2 linked regions of the Xenopus tropicalis genome follow. The protein of the gene in region 2 binds, or shares a complex with, the protein of the main gene of each other region. Links are inferred from orthologs where the notes say so. Each region holds a gene or a part of one and is shown on either strand. Other genes may lie near its edges.

Evidence for each region.
Region 1: the proteins of katnb1 (region 2) and katna1 are in contact, whole or in part, in a crystal structure (PDB 5OW5), measured with the Mus musculus proteins. The link is inferred for Xenopus tropicalis from reciprocal best matches to the Homo sapiens genes KATNB1 and KATNA1. Residues at the interface, in NP_083081.2 of Mus musculus: Leu485, Val486, Asp487, Glu488, Ala490, Met491, Gln493, Ile494, Arg495, Gly497, His498, Met501, Phe502, Val504, Leu505, Thr506, Arg508, His509, Leu512, Asp513, Val515, Arg516, Trp519, Thr521, Asp542, Leu543, Ile546, Gln549, Lys550, Leu553; in NP_035965.2 of Mus musculus: Leu5, Gln6, Ile8, Val9, Val12, Arg16, Ala19, Leu20, Leu21, Gly22, Tyr24, Tyr31, Tyr41, Leu50, Lys53, Trp54, Gln56, Val57, Glu60, Ile61, Val63, Glu64, Gln67, Val68, Asp70, Ile71, Thr74, Leu75, Ser77, Phe78.

Annotation. Positions count from the first base shown.
Region 1 is NC_030681.2:58,161,881-58,165,536, reverse strand, and holds part of katna1 (katanin p60 ATPase-containing subunit A1), read left to right. Parts: intron 1-340; coding exon 341-446; intron 447-2,741; coding exon 2,742-2,900; intron 2,901-3,656. UniProt on the Homo sapiens protein: Catalytic subunit of a complex which severs microtubules in an ATP-dependent manner. Microtubule severing may promote rapid reorganization of cellular microtubule arrays and the release of microtubules from the centrosome following nucleation.
Region 2 is NC_030680.2:76,070,433-76,074,088, forward strand, and holds part of katnb1 (katanin p80 WD40 repeat-containing subunit B1), read right to left. Parts: intron 3,630-3,656; coding exon 3,529-3,629; intron 178-3,528; coding exon 136-177; intron 1-135.

The DNA.
Region 1 (3,656 bases), on a different chromosome or scaffold from region 2:
TGCAATCAGTCATAGATGTATTGCAAAGTGGTCACTTGTGCTAGAATGGGCAAAAGCCAGAAATTAGAGCAGGTTAAATCTGTCTGCTCACAGCATGAGTGCATTGTTTACATTTTTTTTCTGGTAAGAAACTCGCTCTTTTTTTTTATAAGCAACTGTAAGAAAATAATTGCTGTTTGTGAAAATATACTTATTAAACATCTACTCAAATGCATTTTTTATGCTTTACCTTTCAATTCACATTTTTATTGAATTATTTTCAATTACTGGGGATGGTGTAGGTGGCCACCTGTGATGGATTTGGTTAATTTTATTTCAAATACTAAAATATTTTATTTAGGGATGACATTGCAGATTTGGAGGAAGCCAAGAAACTGTTAAAGGAAGCAGTGGTACTTCCAATGTGGATGCCAGAGTTCTTTAAAGGCATAAGGAGACCATGGAAGGTAATAAAGATTTAAAGATTTTTAATGTTGTATGTTTTTCATTTATACAGTTGTTGGGGGACAGTTTTATTTCCAGTAGTTTTTCAGTGCAGTGTGAGAACTTCTAATTTATTTATTTTTTTTTATATATACTTTTTCCATGATATTAGTGAGTTACAGTATGATAAAAAAAAACTTATTGGGAATAAAATATATAATGTGCTAATATACTATTGGCAGAGATGTTATACAGTTGAATTATACAGTCAAGACACAAGTACTTATATATATTCCATTCTCCTAACTTCTTACATTTTTTTAGTTTGTGAGAATGTTTTTGTTGTTTGTCATTGAGTAACCAAAAACAACACAAAAGAGTTAAATAATGCCCTTTTCTCTTTTGGTAGACCGATTGCATTGAAGCTGTTTTATTTCTGTCTTTGTACAATATATTTTTCTTTGAATAAAATACATGGACTAGAAGAAAACTGGAATTCAACTGAAACAATAAAATTATAACCTCACAACTTTAAAGGAGAAGGAAAGGCAAAGTCACTTGGGGGTGCCAAAATGTTAGGCACCCCCAAGTGACTTTAATTGCCTACCTTTTACCCCGGGCTGGTGCCCTTGTTAGGAGAGAACAGCACCAGCCCGGGGTAGCTGCCAGCGCTTCCTTGTTCCTGCCTTGCCACGCGCACATGCGCAGTAGAGTGAAAAGCTGAACTTTAACAGAGGAGTCGGCTTTTCACTCTACTGTGCATGCGATTGTCCGGGACATTCGGCAGCAGCGCGAGTAGGAAGGAGAAAGCGCTCTGGACAGGTACCCCGGGCTGGTGCTGTTTTCTCCCAACAGGGGCACCAGCCCCGGGGTACAAGGTAGGCGATTTAAGTCACTTTGTGGTGCCTGACATTTTGGCACCCCCAAGTGACTTTGCCTTTCCTTCTCCCTGCAGGTTCCCCAGCCAGCCGTGTCCCCTACCCCCCCCCCCCCCCCCGCAGGGCCCCCACCTGACGTCCTCCCCGAGCGAGTATAAATTGAATGTGTAAGGGGAGGAACAGTCAGAAAGGGGAGCGCCGGCAAAGGTCGGACTGGGCCGCCGGGGTGCACCGGGATTTTTCCCAGTGTCCCAGCGGCCCAGTCCGACCCTGGTCACACTTTACTGCTGAGCTGCAAGTTGGAGTGATATCACCCCCCCTCACAGCAGCCGATAAGCAGAACAATGGAAAGGTAGCAAGATAGCAGCTCCCAGTAGATATCAGAAAAGTTCTCAATAGTAAGAAATCCAAGTCCGGTTTGCTACACCTCCAGTTACATGGGGGTAGGAGAAATAATTGGTTGCCTGAAAGCAGTTCTAATGTGTAGTGCTGGCTCCTTCTCAAAATCAGGCCCAAGACTGCCTACACACCAATATTACAACTAAAAAAAAATACATTTGTTGGTTCAAGAATAAAATTTTAAATGGCAGAGTGAATTATTTGCTATGTAAACAGTGTAATTTAGAAATAAAAAGTAAACCATAAAAATCATGACAGTATCCCTTTAAAAGGAGTAGTTTACCCTGCTGGAACACGGTGTAAAGTGTAAAATAGGCATAAACAGATATGTCTTTTGTTTACCGTGCTCCTTGATGAGCCCCAAGGTAGCACTGCAATCAGGGATGTGGCTAAAAGTGGGTAACACGTAGGCATCACCTGCAATGCCCTGTTAGCTTAAATTTCATTCATAATATGAATGAGCCAGAGAGCCTGTGTTAATTTCTCTCTAGCTTTGCTCCCTTTAACTCTCCAGCACCCATAGTACAGGTATGGGATCTCTTATCCGGAAACCCGTTATCCAGAAAGCTCCGAATTCCGGAAAGCCCGTCTCCCATAGACTCCATTCAGAATTTTAAAACTGATTTCCTTTTTCTCTGTAGTATAAAAACAGTACCTTGTAATTGATCCCAACTAAGATATAATAAATCCTTATTGGATGCAAAACAATCCTGTTAATGTTTTATTAATTTTTTAGTAGATTTACGGTATGGGGATCCAAATTACAGAAAGACCTCTTATCTAGAATACCCTTGGTCTCAAGCATTCTGGATAATGGGTCCTATACCTCTATTGGTAACTAGGTCCTAAAACATGTTGGTAGAAAAATTAGCGAAAACTTTTTTGTGCATTTCTATTGTAATTCATTATTGTAATTGCATTAAAACTGTTTGCATAAAATTCTTGTTTATTAAATGTTTTATTATAATAAAAAAAAATGCCAATAGTGGGACCTTCATGGATTTTTATTAAAAATGTTTTTTCTTCTCATTTATTTCCAAGGGAGTGCTAATGGTTGGGCCTCCGGGAACAGGGAAGACTCTCTTAGCCAAGGCAGTTGCCACAGAGTGCAAAACAACATTTTTTAATATTTCCTCATCTACACTTACATCCAAATACAGAGGAGAATCTGAGAAACTAGTACGTCTGTTATTTGAAATGGTGAGTACTTAAATATAATAAACAAAGTCAGTAAAATGTAATAAGTAGAATTGTATGGTGTTGTATTCAGTTATGCGGGGCAATTCAGAACTGATGTGGCCTTCTGGCTAGTGCAGAGAGAGCAATTGCATTCTTTGCACCAGAGAAATCTCCAGTTATAAAGGAAAATTTCAGTTACTTCTAGTGACTTGCTACACACTGCAAACTAAGGCAAGGTTCCCACCTTGCCACATGGCCCCACGTTGTCACGTTTAAAGGAGAATGCAAGTCAAAATTTAAAAAGCATACTGCCCAATAGTCCTCCTATTGATTAGTAAATAAAACACCTAATCAAATATTTACTCAGTCACTCATACTTCACATTTTCTAGAACAGGCAGCCATCTCTAAAAAGGTATTCTCCCATCTTTTCCCTCCTTGCTTCATACTGCACATGTGTTTCATTCCCTCCCCCCCTCCCCTCTGGCAGATCGGCTTCTGATTGGCTGGTGGGTATGTGTAGCTCAGAACAGGAGACAGGATCAAGTTACACACATGCTCAGAGAATAGGAAGGCTGCCGCTGGCAGCCTACAGGAAGGACAGATTGATTTCAGTGATGTCACTGTAGTCTTCACACTGCTGTAGGCTGCCAGCACCATATCTCAGAGAAGCAAGCAGAGATCTGGGAATTTAGATATGCAGTAAGTACTTAAAAAAGAATGCCTTTAGACTTACTTTTAATTTATATTAACCTTTCATTGTCCTTTTAAAGTGAAT
Region 2 (3,656 bases):
TAGAGATTCACAGAACAGAAAATGTTAACTGACAGTATAAGCAAGTTCAACCATCCACATATTTCAGACAAATTCAGATAATGCGTTATTACTGCATACGCTTCAATACAGATATGTCCTCCACAAAGAATGTACCTTATAGCGAAAAACACAGCCTTTCCTGCGCACATCCCATAACTAAAAGAACAAAAGAAAAGTTTGTTAATGGTTCAGTGATGTAAATATTAAACTAACTTCATTTATATATGAAATTTATATTTCCTCAAGCACTAAACTCTAACCTATCAGTGCATACAGTACCAGCAGAATTACAAATATGTCATATAATGAAACCATCTTTGTCTCATTTATCAAATATTAATTACAAATTCTCGACTGTTAAACTACAGAATACTGTGAATAGAGCAAATAGTCCTCTCAATGATGCATATGAAGGGCAAGGAGAGAAGAGGACTCTTTGGCTCTTATAATATTAGGTTGGATATCTTGCATTCTATTCATTCTTTAAAATTACCTATACTTTACTTATATAGGTACTATATAGGTCATTATTTTGTTTTGACCCTAATTACATCAATCATTCAATCGCTTGTAAATAAAGGGAGTTAGTTTAAAGGGAGATAATGTGTTCTATATAAACAAGCTGTCCCCTTCCCTCAGTTGCTGTCTCAGTCTGACAGCGGAGGAGGAGAAGTTAAATTTACAAGTGGATTAACTGGGAAGGATACATTTTCTCCTCCTACAACTACTCTGTAGCAAGTGTAAAATAAAACTGCTTTTATTATCAGGCAAAACACCCAAAGCCTCCCTTTATAGCCTACTACCCATATTTGTTTTGAATACAAAAGGACCAAATTTAAAATGAAAGTAGTTTAAATGTTACTGCATTTTAGCGCAACAAATAACTATAGATTTCTATTTAAAAAAGGACAAAGCACAGCCCCTGTTGATCTGGCTTTTGCTTAAAAATAGGACTTGATTGCCCCTTTAATTTAACTGAATAATAAATCACATAAAGTAATGTAACCTCCAGTTACCACTTGGAAAATAGATATCCTGGAAACTTAAACATTGGCAAACATGGCCTTTCAGGCAAGCCTAACAAACAGCAATCCTTTAGTCCTGTTTGCATTTACAATCATCTCACATACAGTGGATATAAAAAGTCTACACACCCCTGATAAAATGTCAGGTTCCTGTGCTGTACAAAAATGAGACAAAAAAATAATTTCAGAACTTTTTCCACCTTTAATGTGACCTATAAACTGTACCACTCAATTGAAAAACAAACTGAAATCTTTTAGGGGGAGGGAAGAACACCAAAAAAACTAAAATAATGTGGTTGCATAAGTGTGCACACCCTTAAACTAATACTTTGTTGAAACACCTTTTGACTTTATTACAGCACTTTTTGGGTATGAGTCTATCAGCATGGCACATTTTGACTTTGCAAGATTTGCCCACTCTTCTTTGCAGAAACACTTCAAATCTGTCAGATCTTCTTCCGGTGAAGCCATTCCTTTGTTGATTTGGATGTATTCTTTGGGCCGTTGTCATGCTGAAAGATGAAGTTCCTCCTCATGTTCAGCATTCTAGCAGAAGCCCGAAGGTTTTGTGCCAATATTGACTTGTATTTGGAACTGTTCATAATTCCCTCTATCTTAACTAAGGCCCCAGTTCCAGCTGAAGAAATACAGCCCCAAAGCATGATGCTGCCACCACCATGCTTCACTGTGGGTATGGTGTTCTTTTGGTGATGTGCAGTATTGTTTTTGCGCCAAACACATTTTTTGGAATTATGGCCAAAAAGTTCAACCTTGGTTTCATCAGACCATAATACCTTTTACCACATGTTTTTGGGAGACTTCAGATGTGTTTTTGCAAAATGTAGCCTGGCTTGGATGTTTTTCTTCGTAAGAAAAGGCTTTTGTCTTGCCATTCTACCCCACAGCCCAGATATATGAAGAATACGGGTTGTCACATGTACCACACAGCCAGTACTTGCCAGATATTCCTGCAGCTCCTTAAATGTTGCTGTAGGCCTCTTGGTAGCCTCCCTGACCAGTTTTCCATCAATTTTGGAGGGACGTCCAGTTCTTGTTAATGTCACTGTTGTGCCATATTTTCTCCACTTGATGATGACTGTCTTCACTGTGTTCCATAGTATATCTAATGCCTTGGAAACTCTTTTGTACCCTTCTCCTGACTGATATCTTTTAACAATGAGATCCCTCTGATGCTTTGGAAGCTCTCTGGGGACCATGGCTTTTGCTGTGGGATGCGACTAAAAAAATGTCAGGAAAGACCAACTAGAGCAGCTGAACTGTATTTGGGGTTAATCAGAGGCACTTAAAATGATGGCAGGTGTATGCTGACTCCTATTTAACATGATTTTGAATTTGATTGCTTAATTCTGAACACAGCTACACCCCCAGTTAGAAGAGGGTGTGCACACTTATGCAACCACATTATTTTAGTTTTTTAGGTTTTCTTCCCTCCACCTAAAAGATTTCAGTTCGTTTTTCAATTGAGTGGTACAGTTTATAGGTCACATTAAAGGTGGAAAAGTTCTGAAATTATTTATATTTGTCTCATTTTTGTACAGCACAGGAACCTGACATTTTACCAGGGGTGTGTAGACTTTTTATATACACTGTATGTCCCGGTGTTATTGGAGATGACCAAACCTACACCCAAATACAAATGATACAATATCTTATCTCAATAATATTTAATAAGCCTAGGGACAAATAATATGTTAGTGTCCAATTATTTTTCAATTTAAAAAAATTCTAAGATTTTGCATATTTCTGCTATAGCCCTAGCTCATGCTAGTTATTACCCTAACAATATCACAGAAATTATGGTGCAGTTACCACCATTTAATACCAAGTTGCTGGTGGATATATATGCAGCTATACCCTTGCTAGGGTTGCATCATCCTGACCTATCTAATAGACACAGTGTCAGAAATACATATCTTCACTTGTTGCTACAATGGTAATGGTCTAATTTCATACACTAATATATACACTAATATTCAGCAAAATAATCCCAATGCATAACAGAATTATGTATAATTCTGTAAAAAGGCCTAAACAGCTGACATCCAATAAATAACTGCATACAGTGGATCAAGATATGCATTCAACATCCCACAATGGTGGTATACCATATAGGGCAGAACTTGCAGATACATGAAATTAACACTTATTTATTCCAATTAAAATTCCCCTGTCAGGGATGGGGGGCTCTTCAATTTCTACTATGCCTTGCATGCTTTTTTTGCAAATCTGACTCACCTGGCAAGTTCCAGCATTCAGACCAGTGGTCTGCTTGAATGTATATTGGAAAGTTGATTAGAATTATTTTTTTTTTCATGGGGGGGGCGCAACCACTTTAAAGTTTACAAGATCTATAGTTTTTTTTTTATATATGCAAGTTCTGATCAGCATAAAAGTTTATTTAAACCTATTTTCAATGTGTGGTGTTCTCTTACAATTCTAGTGATTCTGCATGGGTTCTTACTTTTATGTTAGTGTCCAAGGACCCAGATGCTACAAAATCCCCATAAGGATGAAAATCCAGGCTGCAGACATTGGCTTTGTGTCCCATTAGTGTCCTTAGAACTAAAAGGAATAATAATATTACATATT